3 linked regions of the Rattus norvegicus genome follow. The protein of the gene in region 2 interacts with the protein of the main gene of each other region in a pairwise test. Links are inferred from orthologs where the notes say so. Each region holds a gene or a part of one and is shown on either strand. Other genes may lie near its edges.

Region 1 (10,029 bases), on a different chromosome or scaffold from region 2:
TTCTCAGGGATATTCTGTTCAATGTAGTGACTCTAAGAGGACTCAGTCCATTAACCCTTGGCCATCAGTTCCACCCACAAAATATAGCCAGTCAGCTTAAAAGGATGTGTAACTCCTAGCACCCCAAAGAGATGGCTTCTTACCCTACGTCCTCTGGCTGAGATTCTTAATAGTTGTAAAATGGAGCCTTCTAGGGTTGAGGGCAAACTCCATGCACCCAACTAATGCCTGAGTTTTCATGTGTGTGTGTGTGTGGTAAGGGGCATAGCTCTCCCTTGCACTGGCTTATTGCAAACTGGGCACAATGACATATCTGCTCAAGAGAGATCCAGGCTTCACCTAGACCCTGCAAATAACATAGCTCTCTAAACCTGGATGCTGTTGTTGGGTTAAAACCCCACAGAGTAGACCAATCCCCAGGGTGGCTGGGAGAGTCTTTGAGAGAGGCTTCAATAGTTAAAGCAAAAGAGGAGTGCAGCCCTTCCCAAATGCACACGTGCACACTCAGACGTGGTAAAACAACACACGCATGTATTTGCGTGTGCACAGATGCGTGACTAAACACACATGCATGCATAAACCAAGGCTCTAGGCTCTATAGCCTGCGAGTCAAGCATGGAAGGCCCAGCTCAAGACTCTACTGCGTATTCTTGGCTAAATGGCTTCATTTCCCTGAGTTCAGCTCCCGCTCCGTGCAATGCACACACTTACAATAGGCCATCACGTGGGGCTGTTGTGAGAGCTCAACACTGCGGGCAATGTTTAAGCAAATGCTTAGGGAGTTCTGGGAAGGGAGGGACACTCCACCGTGTATAGGCACTAGAACTGGTGAGGGGAGGAGGGGAGAAGAGAGGAGAGAGGAGAGGGAGCAGGGAGGACACACCCCTAGAGCCAGCCGATTGCCCACCAGTAAGGAGCATCCACATGCAGAAGGACAGGCCAGGGGCAGGTGGCGAAGGGAACAGCTTCACTCACAGCTCTCGTGTGATTGGCCGAACTGCGTGGGGCTTGTCTGACAGCTTTTCAGCCCCCACACCAATTACAGGCACTTAGTCACAGGTTCCTGCCCCCACTTCCTCTCAGCAGCAGGAGAAAGAACAGCCTTGGTGGGGCTAGTCCTTCCCACTCCCTCCATCCCTGCCTAGCTAGCTTGGATCGGGAACAGGATGGGCACTAATCCAGCAAGGCAGCGAGAGCTTGGCCCCTGAGGCCCGGTGGGCTCTATAGGAGGGACAGGGAGATGGGAACACATTTAGAACAAAAAGGATGGACCTTCGGAAGCTGGCTGTCCCCTTAGACTAAGAAACTGGTACCCCAGATCAGACTGAACGCCACCCATCCAGCCTCCTGCAAAGGCTTTGTATGTCAGAGTGCACGGCGGGTCAGGCTGAAGGGCAGGGCTCGGAGCATAAGAAATATGGATTCTCTCAATCCATCCAATAAGGCAGCTGTGTCTCTGCCTGGTCTCTCCTCTCCTAACAGTGACATCAGCCAGGGCTGAGTCTTAGCTAGATGAGAGAGGGCCACCACAAGGGGTACTCTGAGGTCACTTATCCATTTAGCTATGTGTTTACGGCAGGATGGAAGTCGGCTGGGGCTGGAAGCTTATTCTCATGACAGTGACCATGGGCCACTCTTATCCTGGTGGCCCCTGGAGGCTGATATTTCAACTGAGCATGTCAGTATGTGGTATTCGTAGGGTTTTTGGGGTTTTTTGTTTTTGATTTTCAGGACAGAGTTTCTCTGTGTAGCCCTGGCTGTCCTGGAACTCAATCCCTGGACCAGGTTGGCCTTGAACTCAGAGATCTGCCTACCTCTACCTCCTGAGTACTAGAATCAATGGTGTGTACCACCATCCCCCAACATTTTTTTTGTTTTGTTTTTTTAACCAGGGTCTCATTATGGAGCCTGAAGCTAGCCTAGAATTTACTATGTAATTCTATATTGGCTGGCCTTGAACTTACAGAAATCTGACCCCTTCACTTTCTGAATTCTGGGACCACTTAGCACTCGGTATTTTAATGACCCAGCTGTAGAAGTGACATTGGACCCCAAGTCCACCCAGGTTCAAAACGAGAGAATGTAAGCCTGCCTCTCAATGGTACATTCAAAGCCCTGTTAAGCAGGCGTGCTAGTCTGTGGCAGACAAGGAACAAGGATCAAACCCCCCTCAGACAGAGAGGCCCCGTCTCAGGCCAAAAGCTGTTAAAAGCCCACAGGTGTTAAAAGCTAGAGCTGGTTAGGCTGGCTAGCCAGCGCCTCCAACCTACAAGCCCCAGCAGGGTAGGCTGTGGGGCTCTTGGCCTCTCTAGGACCCCCCAGAGTTCAGCCAACTTGGAAATTCTTTACCCAAGGCCCTGGGGTCACTCCCATGCTCTATGCTCAAGAGCGAGGCTCCCCAAGTTAAGTTGGAAGATTCCCCGAATATCAGGGAACCCATTCCATCCGCACTGTTGGGCTTGATTCGCACAAGTCCCGCTGGACTCCAAGATTATATGGCACACGCTGTAAGGCAGCAAAGGGGGCGGGAACAGGAACTTGGACAATCAAAGCTGTACTAGCTCTACCCCATCAGAGGTACCCCAGGCTGGTCCCTCCACTAACCTGAGCCTTGATTTCTTTGTGAGGCGAGAGTCTAGGGCATGCTCCTGGACCAGGTTCCTCAAGGGCTGAAAGAAACTCACCTTCTCCTTGCTTTGTGATCTCTTGGAAGGGCTGTCCCTTCTCACCCCTCCGGCCAGTGGCTCTCCCAAGCCCCCCACACTGACTCCTCTACATGCATAAACCTTTCCCCGTTCTCTTCCGCCTGCTGCTGGGATCCTAGGCTCCTTGGCTTCACCAGAGAAGAACCCAGGCAAATCTAAGAACTGTCAGGTACTGTGCGGACTGGATCAGACCTGGCTGACACCCTGGGGCTCCAATCTCCCACCCTGCTGGTGTCTCCTTTCCCATATATCCATGGAAGGTACATTTCTCTGGTGTCCTCTCTGTCCCCAAAGAGACCAACATCCACCGGCCCTTCCGGAATCGTAGCCAGGTTACCATGGTGATGCCTATTATCCGGGCTTAACAGGAGATGAATCAGTAGCTAAAAATAGCTCCGGAGTGGATAGATAGATAGATTGATAGGTGGGTGGGTCTGATTCAGGATTGGGACAATTTGTTTTTCTCAGACAAGATAATTGAGAGGAAATCTCAATTAAAAAAAATCCACCCCCACTCAGACAGGTGGAAGCTGCCCTCAGCCGACAGCTTGTGGCACATGGTGAGTCCTGGGTACAAGCCAAAGTCACTTAGGGCTGCTTTTCCCTTCCTGACACATCAGCCGAGGGGAATACCTAAAGCCCAGCCAGGCCACAGCCCTGACTGGTGTGGGTGACCTGGTGAGCCTGATTCTAGGGACGTTCATGCCAGATCCCCTGAAGCAAGAAAGTCACAAGGCTGTGAGAATGAGGGGATGCTTTATTATACCCAAAGCTGCCTCCCACAGACCTTTCAGGCCCCAGGGTCTCAGGTATGAGCATGGGTTGGACTGGTACCAGATAGGACAGAGAAACCGATGGGATCAGAGTGCCTAGAAATAGGTATCCTCGAGGGTTGGGGTACTGCCTCTCTCCACAAGATCAAATGACAAAACTCTCCAAATCAACCACCCCTTCCACAGCTGAGCTGCCGGGATTATGACAGGTGTGGTCCCACCCATCTCTCTGGACCGAGTTGGGCTTGGGGGCTCTTCTGAAGTGGTGCCAGGCAGTGTGATTGACACCCGACGTGACAGAGAGGTGAGCTCAAGCAAGAGGGGAAGAGCATTTCTGTAGCTCCAGCTCTTTCAGAATACCCTGCTCTATGCCTGTTGCATACAGGGAGGCCCAGACATGGGAGAGCTAATGATTTCTGTCACTCCACAAGGCCTAGATCTCTTTATGTTGGGAAAACGGGCCACTGGCCCAGGCCAGCCGAACACGGGAGCAAGGCTGGGGCCTGGGCTGAGTGATGAGCTTCTGAGTGAGGGGTCTCTGGGGGCACAGGAGATGCTGTAGATTGGGACATACTCTTCAAAGCCCCCTCCCCTGACATCCTCATGGCGCTGAGCTGGGACCAGCCTCTCCAGTCTGGCCACCAAGGCTTCGAGGAGGCAGGTCCTTGTGGCTGTAGTACTCAACCACCTGCTTTGGCACCTCGGCCAACACACACTTGGCCAGTGCCGCAGGGGACGCCTGGGTTGAGAGACCACATGGTTACATCTGAGGGCCTTCTACATCCTTATTCCCCTATCTGGGTCACAGTCCCGGGACTCAAATCTACTTAAGGGACATGTGACTTGGCAGTCAGTTGAGCTACTAAGGACACAGGGTGGAAATGCAGCCACCGAGCCCCTAGACTGTCCTAGCGTTAGCTGATGGAAGTGCCTACACTGTCCCCAGTGTGTCTGTGCGGGGAGGCCAACACAGTCCTTTCATCTCTCCCAGCCACAGCAGGTAATGACAGGAGGTAAAGAGGGGCCACCAGGCACAGACGTTCACCCTCATGCTCTCTCATGACGACCTGCGATGTGCATGTGGGAGAGAGTCCACGTGACATGTTTACTATAGAGCGGGCATGGGGAGCTGTGTGCCAGGTCCACAGAACCCCTACTGCCTTCTCTGTGTCATAGATTTTAGGGTCATAAGCTCACTGCACAGGCAGTCATCAGGGTGGAGACTGACCAGGAGCCATCCCCAGAGCCTACTCTTTAGCCTGACATAAAAAGTGCAGGGCCTTATCCTGGGCAAGGAAGTCATGCATGCATGGAGCAGTGGGAACCGCCCCCCAGGGCCCAGCTCTCAATGCCATCCCCCTTTCAGCCACTTACATTCTTGAGCTCACGGAAGGGCACAAACTGAACGATGTCTCGGAGTGCAGGCTCGCCCCGTGGTGAGCGTAGGATTCCATCATCCCCATCTAAGATTTGCATATCCGTGAAGTCGGCGTTGCCCACCCCAACAATGATGACAGACATGGGCAGGTGGGAGGCGCGCACGATGGCCTCTCGAGTGTCCGACATATCCGTCACCACACCGTCCGTGAGGATCAGCAGTATGTAATATTGCTGGGGGCATCAGAAGGAAGCAGGGGTGCCGGCCCCTGAGACCTCTCAAAGCCACACACATCACCTCCAGCTCCAGTCCCCGCCCCTGGAGGGGCCCCTGCTGTGTGCACCTCTGCAGTGCCCAGGCACAATGCAATACTCGTGACAGTCCTAGTCATAAATTACTGCTGGCCACTATGTAGAGTAAAGCTGCTCCACCCGTCATGGGACTGCAGAATCCACTTTACAGACAAGACCACCTCTCAAGGCTTGAACCCAGGTCTCATATCCAAGGAGGAGGACTACTGGATGGACACGGCCTAACACCCTGACACCATGGCGCCCCGGTCCATGCTTCAGGAATGACATAGTGGGAAGTGTTTCAAACAGAAGTCCATTCTCATTCTCAAGAGTACAATACCCCCGTTTAGTCAAAACACATAAGTGAGCAGGTATGCAGTTTCCTTGTGAAAAGCTGAAATTCAAAATCTGCAAAATTCACGAATATCCTCAAACCTCCTAGCTGGGGCATTTGAAGGTGGTTATAATCATAAATTTTCAATAGTGTGTGTTTTATCACAACAAAAATAGTTTGATTAAATCAAACTTTTTCAAAACAGAAGCAAAATAAAACCTCAGGACACAAAGTGACCCTAGAAAAGAATATGACAGAACTCTTGGCCATGCTGTTGGAACTTTTCCTCTAAGTCTGAAATTAACTCAAGGTGAAGAAATGAAAATGTTTAATCCAGGGGTTGGGGATTTAGCTCAGTGGTAGAGCGCTTGCCTAGGAAGCGCAAGGCCCTGGGTTCGGTCCCCAGCTCCAAAAAAAGAACCAAAAAAAAAAAAAAAAGTTTAATCCAGGAACAAGAGACACGTAGTAGGCATTTGTCGATCAAGAGTGTGGATCTCTGGGAATCATCTTATTTTTAAAGTTAAAAAAGAAAGACTATCGATGCCTGTGATGCACACACGCCCACATGGAGGTCAGGGGCCCAACCCTTCTGCCTTGCTCCCTTCTCTGTGTGTGGATTCTGGGAATCAAGCTCAGGGTCACAGATTTGCCTGGCAGGCACCTCAGCAGCTCCTCTTGGCAATTTCCTGACTTTTGGAGAACAGGAGACCTCAACTCTTAAGAAAAGTTTTTTTTCCCCAAGGAAAACAAAAAGTTATTGTGGAAAAAAGGGGGGGTACATTCATCAGAAGACACACTGGCTAGGTTTACCAAATCTGTCCACTGTGGACAGCATTGCCTAGAACTCAGGATGATATCTGTTGGAGCCACTCCTTCCTGGAGCACAGAGGGATCCTGAGAGCCAGCATGGAGAGGTCTCCACTGCCACCCTGAAGGGGGCTCCACTGCCCGTGTGTGTAACGTTCCTGACAGAAGACCAGCTTGCTGCCTCCTCTACACCCTCCTCCCCCTCAGAGTGCTGTTGGGCAGCAGGACTACTCGTGACCAGAGTCTGGGGGTTCCAGGTGGAGTCTGAAGGGTCATGATAGAGTCTGTGGGGGTCAAGATGAAGGGGACGAGCAAAGTCCAAATCAGACCACACCTGGGGGCATCTGGGGACAGGTAAGAGCAGGGACCTAGTAGGATTAGATAGCAGGAGGAGCTGCCTTCCGTGCCCTGCCAGACATTGATATACATGAGACCCACCCGGCAGGCGTGGGCATCATGCACATTTAGGGAGGAAGTGACATTAAGCTTCAGCCTCTTAAATAGTTCAGAAGGACACTTAGTGCATGCATACGTGAAGGGGATGGAGGCAGGACGACGGGGTGGGAAGGAGGAGAGGATGAGATGGACCAGGGAGGTGGAAGGGAGAAGGGAAGGAAGAAAGGTGCAAGCTGGTAGCTATTACGACTTGGTGGATGGCCAGAAGTCATGTGCTGGTCCCTTGTAAGCACAATATTATTTTTTTTTTTCAAAATGAAAAATTAAGAGAAAGCAGCAGGCTGGCTGTGTCTCAGCAGCACACAGAGGGCTACAGAGAGCAGAACACGGCCCTGAGGGAAATGTGCACCCTGAGGATGCCTAAAAGAAAGCCGGTATGTGATACCCGCAGAGGTGCAGAGGGACAGGAGGGAAACTGAGGCAGACCAGTGTCTGTCTGAGATAATAAGGGCTGACTTTGAAGTGTTTCAGTCTTCTGCCTAAACTAAAAACAGACTGCCTGAGGCTTTGAGGGAGCCACCAGCTGGCATCCTGGACCCTTCCCTCATCCCACCCCTCACTGCCTGCCTCAACTCTACCCAGATAACTGCTTCTCTGGTCCTCACCACGACTACACACACAGTTAACTGGTGCTACAGCCGGGTGCATGCAATCCCTGCCCCCAGTCACCTACAGAAGCCTCCCCTGTGCGCTCCTCAGCTGCTGCCATGCGTGCCACCTTAGAGATGATGGGGGCCACATTGGTGGGGCCGTAGAGCTGGACCCTCGGCAGGCAGTTCTGGTAGGCCTCTACCACACCCTGGATCCCTGTAGGGAACGGAGGGGTGAGCCTGGGCCGATGTCGCACGTTGCCAAACCCACTTCCAGCTCCTACCTTCACACTCATCGTCCTCGGGGTTGAAGTTGATGGCAAAGTCATGGGACACCTGGCGGGGACAAGAGTCAGACAGGACCTTCCCAGGACACACTTGATTCCCACTTATGGGGAAGAAGCTGGGTTGTTGCTTCTCGGGGCCCATGTGGTAAGACCTCCATGGAGAGAGGAAGCCAAGAAGGAGGCAGACAGAGGGACAAACTAATGTGGGGCAGTTAGGGCCTGGATTCAATAGTAGCTGTGTCTTCGAGGCACACTAACCAATAATTCCCCTTTCCTACCAGCATCTAGGTAAGAAGTTGAATTGTCCCTTTCTGGTAAGAACAAGCACCGTGCCTAAAGCTCCACCCTCTAAGGGGCCAACAGTCAGTCTCTGGCCACAGCCAGGGTCGCCCCTCCCTCCACCCCCATCTCAAAAGGGAACGGTGGCAACTAGGGTTCTTCCTGGGTTGCAGAGGGTAGAAGGATGGGGTCCCAGCCCAGGGCTCTCCTACCTCATACTTTGGAGGTATCCGGGCTCCAAATCCCAAAGCAGAAAATCGCTTGTCACTGGAAAAGAGACAAAAGTGACAGCTCCAGGAACCCGGCCCCCCGGTGAGTGAAGTAGACACTGGAGGGAGACTAGAAGGCCTGGGCCTTGCTGGGTCAGAAGCAGGGATTACAGGCAGGCCACAGAGGGGAAACTAAGGAACTGAGCAGAGACTGTCCACAGCACAGGCAGGAAACGGTAGAATTGACACCAGAAGACTGGGAGCTGCTCCCTGTTCTTCCCTCCCTCTAAGGACCCTGACCTGAGGTTGTAGCACCTGAAAGGCACCTACTTAACCCCACTATACTTTCTCTTCTCCCATTGAAAGAGGGAGTTCCATGGGCAGGGAGCTCAGGATGGGGATCTGGGCCGTTGTGTTGAGCTCAGAGACCAGACCATCCGTGTTTGCCCTCAGCCCCATCCTAGCCAATCACCCCAACGTCAAGGTCTGCATTTTTCTGCCCTACAAGATGATTTCCAACCAACGCCCAGGTTTGTGTCCCAGTGAAGGGGTATGGGGCCCTGTTAGAGACATAACCCATCCCCCATCCATCCCCTGGAGGATCTGTACCAAAGGTCAGTTGAGCTTCACGTCTACTATGTTAGCTGCAAAGATGCTCCCCCTTCGTTTGTGCTGACCTCAGGGGTCAATCACACTGCCTGGCACCACTTCAGAAGAGCCCCCAAGCCCAACTTGGCCCAGAGAGATGGGTGGGGCCACACCTGTCATAATCCTGGCAGACCTCGCCCACGGCCACCAGCGCCCTCAGGTACTCGTTGGGCTGGTAAGGGTTGATGTGGTGGAGGGAGCAGCTGTTCCTTGGGTCACCATTGGAGGCTGTGAAGTCGATGGCTACCTGCAGGGGCCAGGATGATGAACGGCACTGTGTACCTGTGCCCTCTCACACACACACACACACACACACACACACACACACACACACACACACACACACGCACTGGACAGGCACAGGATACCGGAGCCCAGCCTAAGGTCAAGAGCCTGGAGTCTCAGCTTCCTCAGCTCTATGCAAGCTTAATGGTTCACTGGGACTACTGGCTACACCTTAGGAGATGAGAAGCTCCCCAAACCCTGAAAACCCTAAGTATCACCCTTGGAATCCCAAGATGACATTGACCCTGTCCCCTGGGAGAATCGTTGAGCTGAGCTCCCCTCAGAGGGACAAGACCATGGAAACACTCTCTCTTAACTGCTATGGTTCCCTCTGTGCCTTCCACCTCATCGCAAGGCCACCTTGGGTGTGGCTGTCTGCTCAGCCACCCAGCATAGCTGTGCATGAAGGCAGGCGTCGGAGTCTGTGATGGACTCCTCTGGATGGTCTGTGGTCTGCCCAAGGCTAAGCCGGATGGACTCTATAGGACTCTACACCCCTCATTAGCTCAGTGCCTACTCCTGTTTTCTTCTTTATGGTTTTTTTGTTGTTGTTCTCCTGTCCCTATAATTTTGTAGAAGGTGGGCCCTGGCTGCACTGTGAGAAGGTGACCCTGGGCTGGTCCTGAACTCCTGAATCCTTTCCTTCATCAGAATCAAGGGGAAGAGAGGGGATGTAGATGGATAAACGACACCTAGGACCTGGTGCGTTGGCCTGGGCGGCACAGGGGGCAGGACCCGAAGGCAGCACAGGGCAGGACCCACAGACTCACCGTGCAGTGGATCTGGCAGCCACCCATGATGTAATCCAGGAAGGAGTGGACCCTGTGGAGCTTCCAAGCAATGCAGTTGGCAAAGCCACTCATGACCCCTCACCCCACCCTACCCCACCCAGAAAATCGGGCCTGTGTCAGTGGGAGAGGGAGCCTGTTAGGCATCTCTGCCCTAGGCACTGAAGTCTGTGGGGCATTTTCCCTCTTCCCTCTTT
Region 2 (10,578 bases):
TGCTTCTGTATTTTCTTTTTAATTATGAATATATATGTGACTGGGGATTTAGCTCAGTGATAGGAGCACTTGCCTAGCAAGCACAAGGCCCTGGGTTCAGTCCTCAGCTCCGGAAAAAAAATAAATGAAATGAATATATATGTGAGTCTGTGTGCAAATGTGGGTTTGTTCACATGTGAGTACAGGTCCCTGCAGAATCCAGAAGAGGATGTTGGATTTCTTAAAGTTACACAGGAGACTGTAAGTTGCCTGCTATGGGTGCTGACAATCGAACACAAGTCCTCTGTAAGAGCAGTCAGTACTCTTAACCACTGAGCCATCTCTCCAGCCCAATTTCTCTCTTTCTTTCTTTCTTTCTTTCTTTCTTTCTTTCTTTCTTTCTTTCTTTCTTTCTTCTTTCTTCATTTCTAATTTTTCTTCAAGACAGGGTTTCTCTGTGTAGCCCTGACTGTCTTGGAACTTTCTTTGTAGATCAGGCTGGCCTTTACCTCAGAGATCTGCCTGCTTCTGCCCCTATCTATAGCAGAATTTTGAATGGCTCAATCTTGTATAAGTAGCCATGCTGTGACTTCATGACATACTTCCCAGCACTCCTCCCCACCCTCCACCTCTTACATTCTTTCGGAGCTTTGGTTGGGGGAATGAATTAATACAGGTGTTCCACAAAGGGCTGAGCACTCACACTGTCCCCACTCCTGGTACCAACTTCTTTCTTGGTTAGGGTTTCCATTGCTGTAAAGAGACACCATGACCAAGGCAACTCTTTTTTTTGTTTGTTTGTTTTTTGTTTTTTGTTTTGTTTTTTTCTTTTTTTTGGAGCTGGGGACCGAACCCAGGGCCTTGCGCTTGCTAGGCAAGCACTCTACCACTGAGCTAAATCCCCAACCCCGACCAAGGCAACTCTTATAAAGGGCAATATTTAATTGGGGCTGGCTTACAGGTTCAGAGGTTCAGTCCACTATCATCAAGGCAGGAAGTGTGTCAGTGCCCAACCAGGGATGGCACTGGAGAAGCTGAGCGTTCTACATTTTGTTCCAAAGGCAAACAGGAAAAGACTGACTAGGAGGAGGGTCTCAAACCCCACCCCCACAGTGACATACTTCCTTCAAAAAGGTCACACCTACTTCAATAAGACCACACTTCCTCATAGTGCTACTCCCTGAGCCAAGCATAATCAAACCACCACATTCCACTCCCTGGCATAGACTTGTTCACACATATGAGTCTATAGGGGCCATACTTAGCCATAGCATAATAAAAAATACATTTAGTTCAACTTCCAAAGTCCTCATAGTCTATAAGTCTCAACAATGTTAAAAGTTCAAAGTCGGGGTTGGGGATTTAGATCAGTGGTAGAGCACTTGCCTAGCAAGCGCAAGGCCCTGGGTTCAGTCCCCAGCTCCGAAAAAAAGAATAAAAAAAAAAAAATTTCAAAGTCTCTTCTGAGATTCATCAAAAGCAGAACCATGCCTCCAACATTCCAGGATCTATATTACTGTTCCAAAATACCATAGCAGCAAGGAAATACTGGACCAAAGTAAGACTGAAAACCAATTGGGTAAACTCCAAACTCCACATCTCCAGGTCCAATGTCAAAGAACTCAGAAGAAGAAGAAGAAAAAAAAAGAACTGCTCAGATCTCCAACTCCTTTCATGCTTGTTGACTGTTGTTGGCAGATCTGGCACTCAGCAGCAACAAGCTTCATTCTCTTGGGTTGGTTCCACTCCCAGTTAGCAGCAGGTATCCTATGTCTCCAACATCTCTAACATCTTGGAGTATCCACGACAACTTCAATTTTAAAGCTTCTTGCTCCAATATCTGGGATCCACACATGATCTGGGCTCCTCCAAAGGGCCTAGGTCATTTCTCTGGCTCTGTCCTCTGTAGCATTCTAGGTTACGGTTGACTCCACTCCACTCTTGCTGTTCTTGGTGATCATCCCATGGTACTGGCATTTACCACATGCTGGGGTCTTCCAAGGCAACGAGGCATCACCAATAGCCTCTTATAGGCTCTCTTCATAATGCCAGGCCTCAGCTTCTTTGCAGGGCTCCTTCAATCTTGGGCTGTCAACTGCAACCGAGGGTGCATCTTGCACTGACAACCACTCACTGTAAAAACCAGGTTCTCTGACCGAGGCTGAGATCAGCCCAAGTCCATGGGTACCAACATAGAACAGTGGAGGACAATCTGAGCATGCTCATTCAGTAAAATAAGAAGGGCTGGCTCCACCCCAGGGCCTCTGGCCTCCTGGCAAGACATGGTCTTTTCACCAGAATTGCAGTACCAGGCATCTGTTCCCACCAGAGAGCTGCTATTTAGCCTGCTATTGCGCCTGTAGCAGAGGTTGCCTGGCACATTGGTATTATAGCATGAAGGGACCCCCTGGGTCCCTACCCTTCCCACCAAGTAGGGTCACTGATGTCTGCCACACAGCACCTTCTGAAAGCTAGCTAGCAGAGAGGGGCACCCTGTTCTGAACAGAGTCTGCTCAGTGTGGTTTTGTTGTCTGTTTGGGCCTTAGGGAATAAAGTAGCCTTGGCTGCCTGCCTATATTATATATTCTGATCTCCCCACCTCCGATTTTCAAGTGCTGGGACTGCAAGCAGGCTGTGCCACCCCTGATTGGTCAGCACCCTTTGTCTTCAATTTGCTCCTCCCTTAGAGATGCTTTTGAGTGAACATCTACTTCTTGAATAATCTTCTTAGCTTGTTTTTTTCTTTAAAGATTTATTTATTATATATAAGCACACTGTCGCTGTCTTCAGACACACCAGAAGAGGGCATCAGATCTCACTACAGATGGTTGTGAGCCACCATGTGGTTCCTGGGATTTAAACTCAGGACCTCTGGAAGAGCAGTCAGTGCTCTTAACTGCTAGGCCATCTCTCCAGCCCCAAGCTTGTCCTTTAATGGCAGGATCTCACTCTAATCCAGGATGCCCTGGAACTCTCTCTGTAGCTGAGGCTGGCCTTGGAGCAATCCTTCTTCCTCAGGCTCCCAAATACTGGGATAGCAGGCATGAACCACTAGGCCCAGGTTTTATATAATCTTTCTATTAAAAAAAAAAACAAAAGAAAAACAAACAAACAAAACGCTTTTTTTTTTTTTTTTTTTTTTGGAGCTGGGCCTTGCGCTTCCTAGGTAAGCGCTCTACCACTGAGCTAAATCCCCAGCCCCAACAAAACGCTTTAAGTCCGAGATGGGATCCACAATTTTAAACTTACCCTTCCCAAGTTGCTGAGTCATCAGAAGTTCCCTAGACCCCCAAGTCCAGGGAGTTGACAGCTGTATGGCTCTTTGGTACACAGCCATTTCTTAATGGAAAGGAGTATTTGTGCCCTTCAGCTCTCAGAGTTACAAATGTCAAAGACAGCCCTTCCGTCCTCCCGTCCTCCCCCTCCACCGCCTTCCCATTGTCTGGCGGTAGAGCCTGCCTGTCCTGCAGTTGGTGTCCTCCTAGATGAGGGGCTGCTGATAATCAGGGTCAGGCCGATCGATCGATCGCCAGGGTCAGCGCTGAAAGCCGCTTAAAAACCTCTTCCCGCCCCGCCCCCACGAGGCAGGCTGCCTTTGATCATCCGCCTTTGCGCCCTCTAAGCAAAGGGGCTTTCCCTGAGAAAACAACTCTATAAATACACCGCTAGGTTGGGACTGTGTGTCCGCAGCGGTCCCTGGAGAAGCCACACCTCCAGAGAGGAGCATTAACCCATTGCTTTCATTGCTTTTCCAGGCTCTTCCGAGGCACAGACGCTGGAACCGAGGAGGATCAAGGAGAGACCCCAGTGGAGGCGCTTGTCCTAAGGGAATTGGGAGGATTTGCTGAAAAGCCAAAAAAAAAAAAAAAAAAAAAAAAAAAAAAAAAAAAAGGCATGTTAAATGTCAAATAAAGTTAACATTCTGAACTATCCCAATACTCAGACTCAGGCTGAAGCAAGAGAAGTTGAAATTTGGGATCAGTTTGGGCTACACAGCAAGTTTCCTGTCAACTTGCCCTACAGTCACAGGACCTTGCTAAATAACAAACAATACCTTTCTTCCTGGTTCCGTGCAGTGCTGGGAACGGAACCCAGAGCACCCTGCATGCAAAGCTTCAGCATGAATCGCACCGCGGGCCAGAGGATGGTTTATATACACACACCCATTGTCTGAGATAGACTCCGCTCCCACAGTTAACACCTTAACTCCAAAGTGGCCATTTCCACTGGCAGGATCTCTTCAAACTAGACTTGGAGCCTTAAGAATTTAAACAAAGTACAAGATATATCCAAGAAACCTTAGTCTGGTGCACCAGGGGCCTCTTGTTTTACGGGTTGCAAGACAATGTTGCCAGAACTTGTGTGTTGAGTGTTTGGACATTGGTGGTGAGCCTGGCCTTCAGTGGCTGAGCTCTCTCTCAACCCTTGCTCGGGTACTTCATTGTTGTTGAAACCGAGATGATCTCACTTTGTAGCCCAGCTTGCCCTAGAACTTGCTGGGTTTCCCAGGCTGCCCTTGAACTTGCAGTAGTCCTCCTCTCCTGCCTCAGCCTCCCAAGTGCTAAGATTATAAAACGTGCAATACTATGCCCTATATGTTCTCCCCACTTCCCCCTGCCCCAGCCTTGGCTGGAATTCACCCTGTAGACCAGGTTGGACAGGCGTGGCACAGGCAGGCCTTTAATCCCAACACTGCAGAAAGCAATGGCTGGCGGATCTCCGTGAGTGGAAGGCCAGCCTGTTCTACACAGTTCAAGTCAGACAGAGCTACTGAGACCCTGCCTCAAAGAAAAACAAACAATCTTAAAAAAAAAAAAAGACGTATAAATAGAATGTGAATAGAATAAAAACCGAAAGCCGATTTCATCCCTTCTCCACCCCTCCTCAGTCATTCTTCCACAGGGAGATGGATAAACATCTAGCACACACATCAGATTCTCCCATTCTACAGACGACACTGCCGCACTGACGTCGAAGCGCTCATGAAAGACCACAGAGCTGGCATGTGCTCAAGCTGAAATTCAAATCCAAATTTGTCTGACTCATAATGCAGCGTGCATTCCTTCCGCTAAGCTCCAGGGTGTAAAATTTTATGGATGAAGAAACCGAGGCTCACAGACGTCCTGGGCCATCAGAGCCACATGGTTCACTGCCCAGTATGGGAAAAGCGGAGGCGATGGCATTGGCTGCGTGGAGGAGAGAGCCTTGGCTTGGGCGGATCTGAGCTTGCGCAGGACCACAAGGGTCCAGTTTGCAAATCCCCTTGCTCCGGGTCCGCTGCTAGCTCAGGTTCTTCGAGGACAGGCTCCACCCAAAGGCTGCCCTTCCAGAGTCGGTGGGGTCCCGAGCCCCCGGGTGGGCGCGGGAATGGTGCCTGCAGTGTGACTGCATGATCTTTAGCTGTCCCGGGCGCCCGGGATGGGTGGTTGAGGCCAGCGCGTGGCGGGCGGGGCACGGGTGGCGTGGGGTGGAGCCTGCCGCGGGCGGCGCTGTCCCGGGGCTCCGGGCCGCGGTGGCCACCGGAGGCAGCTGGAGAGAGCGGGCGCAGAGAAGGTAGAGCCTCCCTGACCCCCGCCTGGGCTCTGACTGTCTTAGAACAGTAGACCCTGAGGCGAATTCCTGGGGAGGGGGTCTGGTCTCTGGGACTCCAGGTCCCATCACCCGGGCGAGGGCTTGCGCCAAGATTCCTATTAAGTCACATAGTGAAGTTGGAAAACATAACCGGGACCTCCCTACGCGCTGGCGCAGCCGGCTCTTCCCTGAGGGGCTTCGGGAGGATGCGCCCCGACGCCTGCACTCTGGGATCGCAGGGATAGTGTGTCCAGGAGGGATGCGGGTGAGTGAGCTTTGCACAGCTCAGCCTGTTGTGAGAGGTTGAGGGAAAGGACACCTGTTGGGATGGTTTGCAGGGTGGTGGTGGTGGAGATCCCGTGAAAACCCAGGCCTTCTGACAGGACAACATCTTTCCTCTGCTAGCCCAGCCCTTACTAACTCCATACTCCTCCCCCAACCCCGCATTGGCTCATTCCCCCCCCCCCCCAGGTGAACCTGGGGTGAAAAGGTTAGCTCCCTTCAGGTCACTTCCCTTGGTGTCACTGGCCCAGAGGGGGTGTGACCAGGAGCAACATAGGTTTGTATTCAGCCTAGGTCCACCCTGCTCATCTCCAACCTCAGGGTCCACCCTGCCCATCTCCGACCTCTGTCTTTCTCACCCTGGGCATGAAAACGGGACAACCAGCATACATTTGTGCTGGGAGGGGGTGTCAGCTCTTGCCCCCCTAGGCGGGGGAGGGTGGGGTGGACTTTTCCAGAGAGGGAGCCAGGCCTGGCCCCAGCCCCAGGAGCTCTCGTCCCCCCCCCCCCCCCTCACTTCTCCAGAGAGCTGCCAAAACCAGCTCAGGACAGGATTATGTGTACTGGGTAGACCACGGAGAGGCAGCAGGGACAGACCTGGGGGAGAAGAGAGGAGCAGAGGGAGGTGGAGAGGGGACCCGCATCGGACAAGAGACAGGTTGTGTTCATCACCCCTTTTTTTCCTTCCGTCCAGCCTCCCAAGGCAGGCATAGGGCTGATGGGTGGGTCTCTTCCATCAGGGAAGTGGTGGACTCTGTGGCTGCCCAGCTAGGGGAAGAAGGAGAGGAGTGCATTTTACCTCCTCCACAGCCCCAAGAACTCAGCTCAGCCAATTGGATCCCCTCCTCAAATTCTCATGTCCTGGGGTCCCAGGGAGGGGGAGTGGAACCTAGCTGTGCCTCCTCTCTGACCTTTGCATGCCCTGAGCTGGCCTACTTTGGCCAGCAATCCTTGGATTCTTCTCATGGTGCCATTCAGATCCAGCAGAAACAGTGTTTTTCCTGGAAAGCAGAACTAAGATGGGGTGAGGGCTGTGAGTAGGCAGGGCCTCAGCGAGAAGGAAGGGGCTGGGGCTGGGGGTAGGGAGAGACATGGTTTGAGGACAGGTATAGAAGCCCCCCACTACCCAGTGTTTACAGCTAGACTTAAGGGTGGACTTTCCAGGTATACCTGAAGGAGAGCCTCAGACGCATGGGCTGCTATGAAGGCTGCATCTCTCCTTAGGTGCCCCAGCCATTTTGGCTGAGCATTGTAAGAGAAAAAAAAAAAAAGCAGAAAACTAGTACATGAGCTAAGTCACCCTGAGCCAATGCCTTGTGGATGCTGGCACCCATTGGGAGAATAAGTCACTGCCTCTTCTCAAGAGATGAAGCTATTAGCACTTAGTTTATCCCTTGGACAAAAAAAAAAAAAAAAAAAAAAAAAAAGCTGTATGACACTGTTCCTCCATAAGGAGCTTAGTTAAAAGGGGAAGAAAAGAAAGACTGGGGCGGGTAAGAGAGTAAGAGAGTAAGAGGGGTAAGAAACAAATGCTCTTGGGTTTTGTTAGGGGGAGGAGGTTGATTTTCAATTTTTTTAGCTAGAGGTCCCATGTCACTCAGGTTTGCCTTGAACTCCTGCTCCTCCTACTCCCCCCTCCCAAGTGTGGGATTATGGCTTGTGCCCCTACCCCTGGTACTAAGAGGCCTCTGGCTGGCCCCTCATGGGTGCCTGGCATAGCCTGTCTCCTCTAGGACCTGGAGTATTAGGAGAAAGAACCTCTAGGTCCAAGCTGCCTGCACACAGGCCCTCTTCCGGCTTCCAGAGGAGATAAGTCCATCTTGGGCCACAGGGAGGAGACTCAACTGAACTGAGAGGCTGAGGTCAGACCCCCACCCTCTCCTCAGCAGATGACAAAGACAAAGATCCTTTGCTTCCACCCTTAGGTCCTAAAGGGGTGGACCACTCCTCCCCCACCCCTCCAGACTGTGGGTGTTGTGCTGAGACAGCCCTTCAGTCCCCCAGATATCTGCAGGGGTAACACCATGCTCCTCCCTCCTCAGAGCACCCTCCATCCCTGATGCCAGAGTAGCTACCCTGTCCCTTCTCCCCAGCCCAGGGGCAGTCACAGGAAGAGCATGGAGCTTTGGCTGGGCAGGTAAGAAACGGGTAGCAGTGAGAGGAACGGCTCTATCTCTGATACTTAGGGCAGGGAAGGAGCTGGGGGTAGTGGTGCACACCTGTAATCCAAGCAGAGGCAGGTGGCTGCCTGTGAGTTTGAGGCCAGCACTGTCTACAGAACAGAGTTCCGGGACATTCAGAACTGTTACACAGAGAAACACTGTTTCAAAACACACACACACACACACACACACACACACACACACACACCCGGGTGGGGGTGGGGAGGGCTCAAGCAAGCTCAGGGACCGGATTGCTGGAAGGGGTCTGGCGAGTGACAAGGGACTCCTGCTTGCTGAGGAGCTGGCCACCAGGCTGTGGAGAGCCTGGGAGGGGGCAGGCAATGTCGTAAGGCCTGGCTCCCTCTGATGTCCACCACCCCCTCCTTGTGCAGGCTCTGGCTGTATGTCATGCTGCTCTTGCTTCTCCTTCAGCTCTGCCAGGATCAGGAGGTGAGCCCAGGACAAGTGAGCCACTGCTACCCTGCCCAGGGTCCCTCCACTGTACCCCGGCCTCCCCTTGGGGGTGGCTTCACATTCCCACAGGGAGACTTCAGCCCCTAGTATCAGGTTTGGCCCACCCAGTCTCCCTGCTGATTCCCTCTCTTTTAGTCAAATACCACAAAAAAGGCTGGAGTTTGACCCTACCTGTAAATGTGACCTTGGACAACTAATAACCCTTGAACCTTGAGACACTAATTCTGACCTTTTCCCCTCTCTAGCTGTTGGGTCCTTCTCTTCAGACACCATCAGAGGAGGACCAGGTCCCTGAGGGTCTCTGGGGACCTTGGGGCCGATGGGCCTCCTGCTCCCAGCCCTGTGGGGTGGGGGTGCAGCGCCGGAGCCGAACATGTGAACTGCACCCAGCCCTGTCCCTCCCTCCCCGACCCCCAAGACATCCAGAAGCCCCCCAGCCCCGGGGCCAGGGTTCCAGACCCCAGACTCCACGGGATCCCCAGTCCCTGTATAGGCCACAGCCTCGGGGAAGGGGTGGCCCTCTTCGAGGTCCTGCTTCTCAAGTGGGGAGAGAGGAGACCCAGGAGCCTCGGGGGGCCCAGAGGTGAGGCTCTGAGGGCAGAGCAGAATGGGGGTTAACAGAAAGGTGTAGGGGACTCCAGCGCTGCAGGCCAGTCTTTCAGGAAGCAGACCGGGGAAACAGGCGAAGAGGTGACTAAGTCTACACATCCTCCCAGGTTCCGTGTTCGAGACCCTATCAAGCCAGGGATGTTCGGTTACGGGCGAGTGCCCTTTGCTTTGCCCCTGCACCGGAGCCGCAGGCTTGCTCACAAACCTGGACAGCCCAAGGACTCCTCTACAGCGGAAGAGACACTTCCATCCCAGCCTCCAAGCACAGAACCAGCCTCTGAAAAGCACAGCCCCCACATGCAGCCCCCTGAACTGCGTGCCCAATCCCGTTCCCCCTCAGCTGAAACTCCAAGGTCTGGAACTGCTCAGACAGAAGTGCCCTCCAGAACCAGTTCTGCTCCCTCCGACATGGGTATCCCTGCACCCACTTCCTCCTTTAGAGACAGTAGGTCTTTCCAGGGATCCCCTGAGCCACGAATGCCAACTTCCCAGGGAGCAGAGCGACAGCCACATCCTTTCTCTCCTGTCACCCGGAGCCAGCTGAGCCGGAGGCACTGGAGACCTCCGGGGAGTCCTCACAGGTCCCCAGATGGCTGGCTGCCTCTGACAAGGGACTCCAGCCCACACTGGAGCCTCTTTGCTCCCAGTAGCCCCACTCCAGAATGTTCTGGGGAAAGTGAACAGATGAGAGCCTGCAGCCAAGAGGTGAGCTGTTCTCCAGGTTTTGCACCCTAGACTTTCACTGTTCCCTGACCCGAGTCCTCATCTTGATAGACTTGGACTCCAGGGTGGTGGTTCTGACTTCAGGGCAGACGCCTTGGTGTTCTATGGAGTTGACCAACCAGTTCCCAAGCCTCGTTGGCCATGGCCCACACCCCAGGTTTCCTCTGCAGCTCTGACTCCTGTATATCTGCCTTCTCAGCCTTGCCCCCCTGAGCAGCCAGACCCCAGGGCCCTGCAGTGTGCCGCCTTTGACTCCCAGGAATTCATGGGCCAGCTGTACCAGTGGGAGCCCTTCACCGAAGGTGCAGTTTCTAGTTCCCCTGGCAGGGCGACTCAGGTTTGGGTGGCCCCTCTCTCCCTCCTGGGTGTCCTACTTTGCAGGTCACCCCAGAGGCTTAGCCCAGACCTAGAGAAGGGAGCTGTTTTCTGGGAAGCGATGGGTGGATGGTCAGGACAGGCAGCAGGCTGGCGGAGGGAGCTGGCTAAAAGATGCTGTGATCTGGCAGGGCATGAGTGAGACCTGTTCACTGGTCCCAGCAGGACACTATCTTCTGTTACTCCCAAGTTACTGTCCACTTGGACTTGTGGCTATGTCAACTCCACACTGACAAACCTTCATGAGCTATGAGCCTATGATCGTAGGTGTCGGAGACCCTTTTGAGGAGTGGTAGGATGGCTCAGTGGGTAGAGGGGCTTGCCTCAAGCCTGACGGATGACCCGAGTTTGGTCTCCAGAACCCATGGTAGGAGGAGAGAACCCACTCCTGCAAGGTGACCTC
Region 3 (10,029 bases), on a different chromosome or scaffold from region 2:
AAGGTCTGTCAGCTTTGTCCCACCAGAGTGTTTCTGCCCATGTGTTTCTCCTGTTCACCTGTTCCAGCTGCCCTTCAGAGTGTTTTCCCTCAGGCCGAGCTCTGCACATTTCTGACTCTTAGTAAGAAGGACAAAGAACGCCAGTTGAAAGAGCTCACCATGATCGTGACTGGAATTCGGCTATTTAACAGAGACTGTGGGAAAGGAGGAGAAGGCATTGATGACTGTGAGTCAATCTTTAAGCTGCTCCTCAAGGTTCTGCATGTCTAAGGCTTAACTTCACAGTGGAGCAGGCCCCACACCACGCCACCAACACTGTCCAACTTAGGATAGGCAGTTCTGTTTGTTAGAAACAACTGCTCTTCATTCTGCACGCGAGCTCTCTCCTTGCTGAGGCAATTGGCTTCACATTTTCTGTACCATGGAGCTAGTGTTAGGAACCCAGTCAGCCCTTGAATGAGGGAGCAGTGTTTACTCCGTGCTAGCCAAGGGGAAGAAAACCACTTTAAAAGTAAAACTCACCTTGGGAAGAAAATGGTGCTGGTCTATTTAGTGGGATGAAAAGACCAAAGAGAAGACGTGCCAACATTTGCAAAATCAGAAACACTCCCATGTTGGTGCATTCACAATGCTCTGTTATTTACTTCTTTTTAGTTTTCAGGCAGGATCTCGCTGTGTAACCTTGAATGGCCTGGAACTAGCTCTGTAGACCAGGCTTGCCTCAGATTCACAGAGATCCACCTGCCCGGGCCCCCAAATGCTGGAATGAAAGGTGTGCCCCACCACAGCCACAGTACATCTGTTACTTGTAAATTTGAAAATACTTACAAAGTATTGAATAAAGAACCTAATGAAGAAATAATTCCATGTGAATTTTATCCTTCTGCAGGCCTGCTGAGAAGGTGTTACTGCCTTTTACCTAGATCACTAGATGAACACTAGCTGCAGGGTATTCCAGACAGACACCTGCCTGTCTTCTCTCCTGCCTTCCTAACTTTTGGGGACTGGGAAACCACAGAGTTCCAACCCTACAAAGGTTTTGTTTGTTTTTATTCTTAAAAGTTGTTATAAAAATTCAAATTCCAGTGTTGGAGAGCTGGCTCAGTATTTGCTCTTAGAGAGGAGAGTGGTTTCATTCCCAACACCCGCATGGTGACTCATAATGGTTCCATGGCATTGGAACATGGGATCCAGCACCCTCTTCTGGCCGCTGTGGGTATTGCACACAATGCTGCACAGATCTCTAGGTAGATAAAGCACTATATGTAGATATCTGTAAAAATTACAAAAATCAATTTCCCACCAGACAGAGAGAGCCTTCCCCTGCTAGACTGCTCTGTTTATTTTTCGGGTCCAGATAAAGTTCACACATATGTTTTAAATCTGCTTTTATGACAGGAACTCAGTGGTTCTTCTAAAGGCGCACGGCAAACACAGGACATGGCACCACCGTCTACCTACATTTTCTAAAATTAGTGAGAAAAGTGGATCTGATTCCACCTTTCTTATTGTGACAGTGGTTTTTTTTGTTTTTTTTTTTTGTTTTTTTTTTTTGTTTTGGTCTGGAAAGGTTCTTTTCTGCATGGGGTGCGACTGTGAAAGAGATGCCTTTATTATTATTAATCTGCTAGGAAAAATCTGACTCAGTTTAATGTTTAAAAATACAACTATTTTCTGGGCTCTTTTCCTCTCTCTCCTGCCCCTGCTCTCGTCCCCTGACACACAGTGCCAGCCATTCTCCTCGAAGCAATCCCAGCCACCACACACCATATCGACTCCCAGCTTCAGATTGCCCAAGAACAGGCATTTCGCTACACGGCCATTATTGAGAAGGTAACAAACAACCCGCTCATGGCCAAAGAACTTCAGCCGTACATGTTAAAGGAAGCGCTGTATAATGTTCGACAGTACGAGATCTTCCTGCAGACTGTCCTGGTGAGCTAATGTGGCAAAATCTGGCATTTTCTGTATCATGCAGTCGCCCCTGAGAACAAAGTGACTCACAGAGGAGGAAGTCCGCATTGCCTTGGCGTGACCAGGGCTTAAAAACAGAAACAGCAAAGTTAGGTTTGATCTCAGTGGAACGGTGCTGGGAGAAGCCAATTTACGGTTGTCGATTCTCTTTAATACTTGTTGGTATGATTGGTAACATGCTACAAGCCGTGATGTGTGTGTGCATTTGTAACACTTGTTACTTGAGAGCGTGTGCTTTGCACTGTTGGCAGGGAGCTGGCACAGACAGGGTCATTGTCACTTGGAAGCTGGGAGCAGGCAGGGTTTAACGCATGGTATCAATGGTAAAACTATAAAATGTGAATGCAAGTCGTGCTGTCGTCACAGTCAGATATAATCACCTGTGCTGAGGAAGTGGAGCTGATGACAAAACAATTGGCAGCTCAGCTGGAGCAGCTGAAAATGACAGTAAAATCCAAGACGGCGGTCCCAACGTCACAAGTCTTCGTGAGTACCCAACGGCATCCCCTTCTACCTGGTGTTTGTGGCCCAGGCTCTCAGCGTGTCGCCCTAACTGGCTGGAGCTTGCTCCGAAAGACCAGGTTGGCTTCAGATCACAAAGATCCCCTTACCTCTGTTCCCAAGTGCTGGGAGGGAGGGACGAGGAAAGGAGGGCCGGAGGGAGGTGTGCCCCACCCAGTGACTTGGACTCTTTAAGATGCGTTTTATTTTATTGTGGTGAAGGGGCATGCCACACGGCTCATGTGGAGGCCAGAGAGCAACATTCAGGACTTGGTTCTGTACTTTGTTAGTGGGATCCTGGGATCAAGCCCGGGCTGTCAGGCTTGTGAGAATTTTTACGCACTAATAATCCAAAGCGTTTCTCATCTGGGATCAAACCCAGCTGTGCCCCAGCTGGACCAATGCTCACTGCTGAGCCAACTCCCTGGCATGCGGTTGGTTTGCTCTGTTGTTTTGAGCCAGTACCTCACTTTATAGCTGGGTACTGTAGCTACCCCAAGCTGTCCTGCAATGTGGATCTTCGTGTGCCCACATCCTGGGTGCTGGAATGCAGGCATGTGCCACCAGGTCCGGTGCAGTTTCTTAAGGCTGGACCTCCTTTTGAGTCCTATAAAGTGAATGGAATTCCTTATAACTGTATCCACTAGAATGGTATTATGTAACACCCACCATTCCTTGTATACAAACTGGCCCTGCTCTTCATGATCAAGTCTCAGTAACAGCCTGCTTGTTAGTCTGATGAAGGAAATCATAATCTCTAGTGACGAGGACCATAGTACCTGTGGCCACAGAAGCAGTCCATTATAGTGTTGAAAGTGTGCTTACAGAACTGAAGAAGATGGTAATGGCCTTCCACACAGTCACACAAGCACCTGAGTTTAGGTTCCCAGCAACCATATCAAAACCAGATGCCGTGCTGTGTAGACAGAGCCAGAAGGATTTCCGGCTCTTATATTGGCCAATCAGTGAGCTCTGGGTTCAGTGAGAGATTCTGACTTAAGAAATAGGCTAAAGAGTGAATACGATCTCACACACCATGGGTTGGGGGAGAGAGAGATGGCGCAGGGAGGAGAGAGGCAGCAGGCAGGGAGACAGATGGGGATGGAGAAAGAGAGGAAGAGAATATGTTCACAGTACTGTCCGAAATGGAGTCTAGCACGGGTGTGATACAGTGTAGGAAGAAACCCTCTATTTACCACGCAGTGACTTTCTGATCAACAGTACTGTTTTATAGAAAAACGTTGCAACCCTAATCTGAACAAGGTAGTTGTAAAATGCACATGCATTTTGCATGTATGTAGAGCACTTGAAACCATGGTAACTTTCTGCGGGTGTTCTCAATGTTTGTTTTATAAAGTAAGACCCTTTTATGTGAGGCCTGGTTGATTTTCTGTTTAGTCTACAAATGTTAATTTCTATTATGAGTAAGATATTTATGTCACTGACCTAAAGATTTAGCTTCGGCTCCCTTGACATACCAGAAAATGTGCTGTGTGCTTTCCAGGTTCTTTCGATCCATGATAGGGCCAGGGAAATCTACTACAGTGAGTTTTTTAGTTTTTGAACAAAAATTTCCAAGTGTATTTTCTTTCTTGACCTTTTGAGGTAAAGTAATAAATACTATTTCTTAGGAGATCAAATGTGTTTGGCTACTTCTTGAGTAAATTAACTTAATAACAGTTATGCCAAATGAAATACTTGGAAAGAAAACACTGGTTTTCCTTCTTCTGACTTGCGAGTCTTTGCTAGTTTGACAAGGCCTGGATGTGTAGAGGAGCGAGTGGCTTTTAAGGGCCCAGCGATGGCTCTGTCACACAGTCACTTTGTCTGTGTACTCTCCTGCTAGCCCATCTTCATTGCGCTGGCCAGCCTGTGGACGAGCTTCCAGGATGAGACGGTTCTTATCAGCGTCCTCAGCAACCTGACCACCAACCTGGAGCTCTTCCTGGGCACCCATGACCTCCTCTTTCCCGAGAAAGTGATGCAAGGCCTTCTCGATGGCGTCATCGTGAAAACCGATATGACTCGGATAGAGGAGCACTTAGGTAAGGCACCCTAGCCATTGCCTCCTTCACTTTTAAGTTCCCATTCCCTTAAAGTCACTCTTGTTAGTTTCAAATAGTCACGTTCTAGCTTTCTGATAAAATACTAAACATCTTAATTGTGAAAGACTCATATTCATTCTAGAAAGTATGGGGGAAAATGCAAGACATTGTAACGCACACCTTGAGTTTCCAGGGTGTAGATGGTGGAGGCAGGAAGGCCAGCCTAGGCTACACAGTAAGTTCAAGGCCAGCCTGAGCTATAGAAGTCCCTGTTTAAAAAAAGGGTGGTGGAGCGTGAAAAATATAGATAGTGGAAACTGAGTTTCTTACTTTCCAGAAATTAATTCTTATTGAGGTCCCTTACGTCCCCATCTTGTGTGTCTGTGTATTTATGTCGCAGGGGGGCTGGTTTTGTAATTGATGTACTGAGAAACAGTCTTGCTACTTTCATTGCAGATAAAGCTCCATTTTAAAGAATGATACTTGCAACACATCTTCTTAGTGTCAAGTTGAAATTTGTGAACTAATTTAGCTAATCTTAAGCCCCTTAAAGATACATCGATAACCCACCCGCCTTGAGACAAGGTTTCTCTGGGTAGAGGTGACTGTCCTGAAACTCACTCTGTAGACCAGCCTGGCCTCAAGCTCACAGAGATCTGCCTGCTGCCGCCTCCTGAGAGTGCTGGATTGTGCCACCACCGCCTGCTGACGTATTGATTCTTCCAGAAAGGTTGACATAATCAGTCAACTTTTAATCATTTTATCAGCTTTTTACTTTTTGTATATTAATTACAGACAACCTAAACTTCGCAAGAAATATTAACGCAGAGCTTAAAACTTAACACTCAAACTTCTTCCAGAAAAATGAAGTTAGAAGTTTACTAATTTCTTTTTCAGATTCTATTTTGGTAAAAAAACGAACCAACAAAACCCAACAAACAAACAAAACCCTCCCAAAACAAAAAAAACTAGAAAATAAAAATGTAACAGTGAATTTGTTTCTTAAATTATTAGAATCTATAAAAACTGAAAGCTAACTAGGATACCCCATATCCACTCAGTGTAAGTTTTTACCACTTATTTAACTTCATCAAAACAGTGAGTCATGTCCTAGCAGATATGACAGGAAATTGAAAAGTTGGAGTAAGTTCATTAGTGACTGTTCAGCCCAGCCTCAACTTCTTAGATTTAGAGCCGTCTTTCCTACCAGAGTCAGAACTTTCTCTTCATTAGAATATTTCATCAGCTTATTCTCTCTCGAACTCGGAGAGCCATATTCTTTTGAAAGAATTTACACCTGCTTATTCAGGCTGTTGGAAGTTTGGGTCTAGCACCAGGAATATTAAAAATGTGTGTGTGTGTGTGTGTGTGTGTGTGTGTGTGTGTGTGTGTGTGTGTGTGTGTGTGATTATAAAAGTTAAGAATGTTGGGAAACAATTTTTATGAATGTATGATTCGTATCTAATTTATTCCTTTTAGTTGTCAATGTACGTAAAGCAACTGGTATGAGGAAGTGTCCTTAAAGGTCCAAGGAACGGCTGGAAAGATGCTCCACGGTTAAGAGCATTTCCTGCTTCCTAAGAGGACCCCAGTGTCACAGGCTGCAGCTGCAGCACCAGGGGAATCCGACACCTTCCTCTGGCTCTGGAGCACCAGACACGCATGCAGTGCACACACACACATATGTAGCTACTCACACACACATAACATAAGCACAGCTATTTAAGAAAGAAGCCTAAAGAAAAATTTATACGTTTTAATCAAAATTAAGCTAGTAAAAGACATCTTCCTATTTGGAAGTCTTTACAGCTTTGAGATACAGTCTAGTTATGTAGTGCTGTCTTCAAAGTGTTCTCCATGTAGCGTTGTATCAAGACTTGGGCCATCCTAAATGAAGGAGATACTCTTGGTCACAGAACAGGTCTTTCTGCTCATCTCCTTGGGTCATTTACTGTGTGGCAGCAGGACCATTACGTACCCTGACAGAAGTGTTCTGGTCTGCCTTTCCCTAACCTGCAGAACAGGCTTTTCTGAAAGGTCTCTCAGGGTTCAGTCCGGAGCAAAGTTCTGTTTCTACCTTTGCTTCAGCAAGTTGCTGGCTTGGGTAGTCACTGAGGCCTTCACCCTCCTTTACATGAATATCACCCCCAATGAGTGGTTTTGTGTACACCAGGGGAGACTTTGCCAATTTGAAAGAAGTTAATGTTTAGAATGACGTGCTGCTGACTTATTTCAGAAATTGCACCTTCTCAATGGATGAAAACCATTTCCTGTTCTTTCATTTCAGAAGAAAAAGTGCAGTTGGCAGATTTCAGAGTACTGGAGTGGCTTTTTCCGGAGACAACAGCCAATTTTAACAAACTGTTAATTCAGTACCGTGGATTTTGCGGTTACACGTTTGCTGTAACTGATGGCCTTCTCCTCCCAGGTATGTTGTTAAAGAGTCTGCACTCCCTGCCTGTTCTGTACGAGTGCCTGCTTATACGCACTGTGTCAGCCTCGAACATTGTGTGGACTCGGACGGTGAACCAGGGAGGAGATGCCGAGATGACCTGGCGCCGTCCTCACCTGAAGGTGCTTCAAGGACAGTATGATAGCCTGAACAAGAGACTGTAAGGAATGAGGGCCGGGAGGTGTAACAGGTTGCCCGTCCCTGATCTAAAATGTTTCAGGCCAGAAATGTTTCTAATTGTGGGTTTGGGAGAGAATGGGATTATTAAGGGATACGACCCAAGTTTAAACAGAAATCTGTTGATGTTTCATAGACGTTTTCTGTTTAGCATACTAAGAGTACACTATGTTTAGCGCACCACATTTCTACTGTGACTTATCACATGAAACTTCTGTTTGTGGGGTCGTGAAGGAACCCAAACTGCTTCTGATTTTGGAGCATTTCACATTTCACAATAGGGACACTCAGCCATCATTATACAACATGGACTCTATAATGCCTTGAGACGGGGATGATTCTCCTGTACGGAGGGAGCCCAGAAGCATGGTGTAGCCGTGCTAAAGACAGAGCCTTTGAGAGAGTTACCAAAAAAGACTTATTTAACTAATGTGTTCACTTAAAAAGCGTTCGTGATCACTCCACAGCTACCCTTCACTAACACAGGCTAGGACTTCTCTGTTAAGTTCTAAGGAAATATCTTATTAAGTAACATTTCTCTGTGGCATCTACATTATACATAACAACATTAAATTTATAAAATGAAAAGTAAATTAGATATTGGGAGGCAATAGATTATTATTCAAAAGTTCTGTGTGCAGTGGGAATGGCAAACCCATGGGGGCTAAGTCATAGTTAGTCCTAGCTGTCAGCAAGACATCCATGGGAAGAGGAAACCTCCATTCAAAAATTGCCACCACCAGGTTGACCTCTAGACATGTCTTGGAGGCCTTTTATTGAGGGATAAGTAATGTAAGAGGGCCAAGCCACCCTTGGACAGTGTCATCACCAGGCTGTAAGAAAGGTAGCTTCCACCAGCTGTATTAGTATGACACAGGAATGTAGCGGGTTAGCACATGGTACATGTACAGAGTTAGTATGTGAAAGGCTCTGGGTCGTACTGTTAGCCATATGTCTATATGTATGTATGTATGTGCACATATGTCCATGGACATGTTGGTCCTATGGCTTATCACAAACACAACATTGCTTGGTTCATGACTAATTAAATTATCGTTCTTAATTTTCACAGGAAATCCAACGATTGGTATTTTGAAATATAAAGAAAAATATTATACTTTCAACAGCAGAGATGCCGCATATTCATTTGCAGAAAATCCAGACCATTACATTAATTTGATCAAAGAGAAAGCCAAGAAGAATGCAGAGTTAATTCAGCTACTAGAGCTTCATCAGCAGTTTGAAACTCTCATACCGTATTCTCAGGTAAACATGGGAACCCTTGAAAACACCTGGGTTTGTAATTCCTGTAATTAAAGTGGCATCTCGGTATTGCTCACTGTGTAGTTTTTCCCTGACAGTGAAGTTCAGTGAGTGCAGAAGCAAGAGTAGGCTATCCAGTCTTCCCCCTCACTTTTGACCTGACAGTTTGAGACTGTGGCTCTTTGAGCCAGAAGGTCACTGTCTCCTTGAGGCTTCCTGGCCACTAAGCTCCGCCATTCTCTGTCCCCAGCAAGTGTTGGGATTCTGGCATGTATGGCCATGCCTAGCTTTTATTAGGGGCTGGGAGTTTGAACTCTGGTCTACTTGTTCTCACCCGCTTGGTACCTTTTAAGGGTGCAAGAAGGAGATCATTTTCTCTGCCAAGTAAAGGATTGAAAGGAAAAAGTGTCACGAGAAATCTTGGGGAGCCCCAGCAAAGACATCATAAGATACGCAGGAATCAAGGTCTCCTTGTGAGGCTCTTGGCTTCATTAATAAAAGGATTGAAGCTAAACATGATGGCACATCCCTTTAATCCTGGCACTCAGGAGGCAGATCAAGGAGGATTTCTGTGAGTTCGAAGCCACCCTAATTTACCTATCGAGTTCTAGACTAATCAGGCTATGGCACCAACTTCAACAAACAAGAAAAAAAAACCCAAGCCCAAACACAATATACATAGACATAAAGATATACATATGGATGAAGGGAGCTGAGAAGATGGCTTCGTGGTTAAGTGCACTCTCTGCTCTTTCAGAGGGCTTGGCTTTGGTTCCCAGCACCCAGTTCCAGGGGACTTAGTACCCTCTTCTGGCTTCTGTGGGCACCAGGTATACGTGCACATACATACATGCAGGCAAAACCAAACAAATCAAGCTCTCTTGGCTGGTGAGATAGCTCACCAGGTTAAGGCTTCTGCCACCACACCTGAAAAATCTGAGTTCAATCCCTCAAAACTACGTAAGTGAAGAAGAGAACTGACTTCTGCAAGCTGTCCTCAGACCTCCGTGTGTGCATGGGATCTACACGTGTGCACACATACAATAAATAGGTGTATACATTTTTAAAAGGAAAGAAAAAAGTCAAATGGAAACTCAGGGCCATTTATTTGTGCTTAAAGGGAAAAATCAGGGCAGGCTAACTGTAAACCTCATAGCTGCCTAAAGGAATAGAAAAGATAGTCCTCAAAGTCTGCCTTGTAAGCATGAGGTTCAGGCCAGTGTCAGAGAGAAAGGAAGGAAGGATGGAGGGAGGGAAAGAAGGAGGGAGGCAGGGAGGCAGGGAGGAAGGGAGGGAGGGAGGGAGGGAGGAAGGGAAGAAGGGAAGAAGGGAGGAAGGAACGTACATTACACTTGTCTGAGTAAAGGCAGGCAGGGCCCCCTGAACCTCATGCTTGCCCATGGACTACACTGGGGGCAGGGGTTCTGGGAAGGTGCGTGATCTTAAGGTGAACCCACCTTCCTAAGGGACCTGTTGTGTTCCGAGGCCTTGTTTCTTTGAGGTTCTCCATCCCCTCTGGCTCTTGAAATCTTCCTGCCTTCTCTTCCATTGGGTTTCCTGAGGACTGTGGAGAGGAGTTTGATGGAGACATACAATTGAGGACTGAGTGTTCTAAGG

Evidence for each region.
Region 1: the proteins of Adamtsl4 (region 2) and Cpne7 interact in binary tests that used the Homo sapiens proteins (3 or more experiments, as listed by UniProt). The two-hybrid records come from large-scale screens. The link is inferred for Rattus norvegicus from reciprocal best matches to the Homo sapiens genes ADAMTSL4 and CPNE7.
Region 3: the proteins of Adamtsl4 (region 2) and Cfap206 interact in binary tests that used the Homo sapiens proteins (3 or more experiments, as listed by UniProt). The two-hybrid records come from large-scale screens. The link is inferred for Rattus norvegicus from reciprocal best matches to the Homo sapiens genes ADAMTSL4 and CFAP206.

Annotation. Positions count from the first base shown.
Region 1 is NC_086037.1:68,084,613-68,094,641, reverse strand, and holds the end of Cpne7 (copine-7), read right to left. Parts: intron 9,875-10,029; coding exon 9,815-9,874; intron 9,007-9,814; coding exon 8,873-9,006; intron 8,170-8,872; coding exon 8,115-8,169; intron 7,673-8,114; coding exon 7,621-7,672; intron 7,554-7,620; coding exon 7,420-7,553; intron 5,090-7,419; coding exon 4,853-5,089; intron 4,218-4,852; coding exon 4,080-4,217; 3' UTR 3,445-4,079; downstream 1-3,444. UniProt on the Homo sapiens protein: Calcium-dependent phospholipid-binding protein that may play a role in calcium-mediated intracellular processes.
Region 2 is NC_086020.1:185,930,718-185,941,295, reverse strand, and holds the start of Adamtsl4 (ADAMTS-like protein 4 precursor), read left to right. Parts: upstream 1-5,499; 5' UTR 5,500-5,815; intron 5,816-6,383; exon of another isoform or gene 6,384-6,490; intron 6,491-6,589; exon of another isoform or gene 6,590-7,694; intron 7,695-7,757; 5' UTR 7,758-7,949; coding exon 7,950-7,969; intron 7,970-8,386; coding exon 8,387-8,444; coding exon of another isoform or gene 8,445-8,459; intron 8,460-8,713; coding exon 8,714-9,051; intron 9,052-9,184; coding exon 9,185-9,782; intron 9,783-9,999; coding exon 10,000-10,102; intron 10,103-10,578. UniProt on the Homo sapiens protein: Positive regulation of apoptosis. May facilitate FBN1 microfibril biogenesis.
Region 3 is NC_086023.1:54,078,871-54,088,899, reverse strand, and holds part of Cfap206 (cilia- and flagella-associated protein 206), read left to right. Parts: intron 1-67; coding exon 68-226; intron 227-1,726; coding exon 1,727-1,935; intron 1,936-2,340; coding exon 2,341-2,460; intron 2,461-4,321; coding exon 4,322-4,520; intron 4,521-6,807; coding exon 6,808-6,948; intron 6,949-8,221; coding exon 8,222-8,415; intron 8,416-10,029. UniProt on the Homo sapiens protein: Essential for sperm motility and is involved in the regulation of the beating frequency of motile cilia on the epithelial cells of the respiratory tract. Required for the establishment of radial spokes in sperm flagella.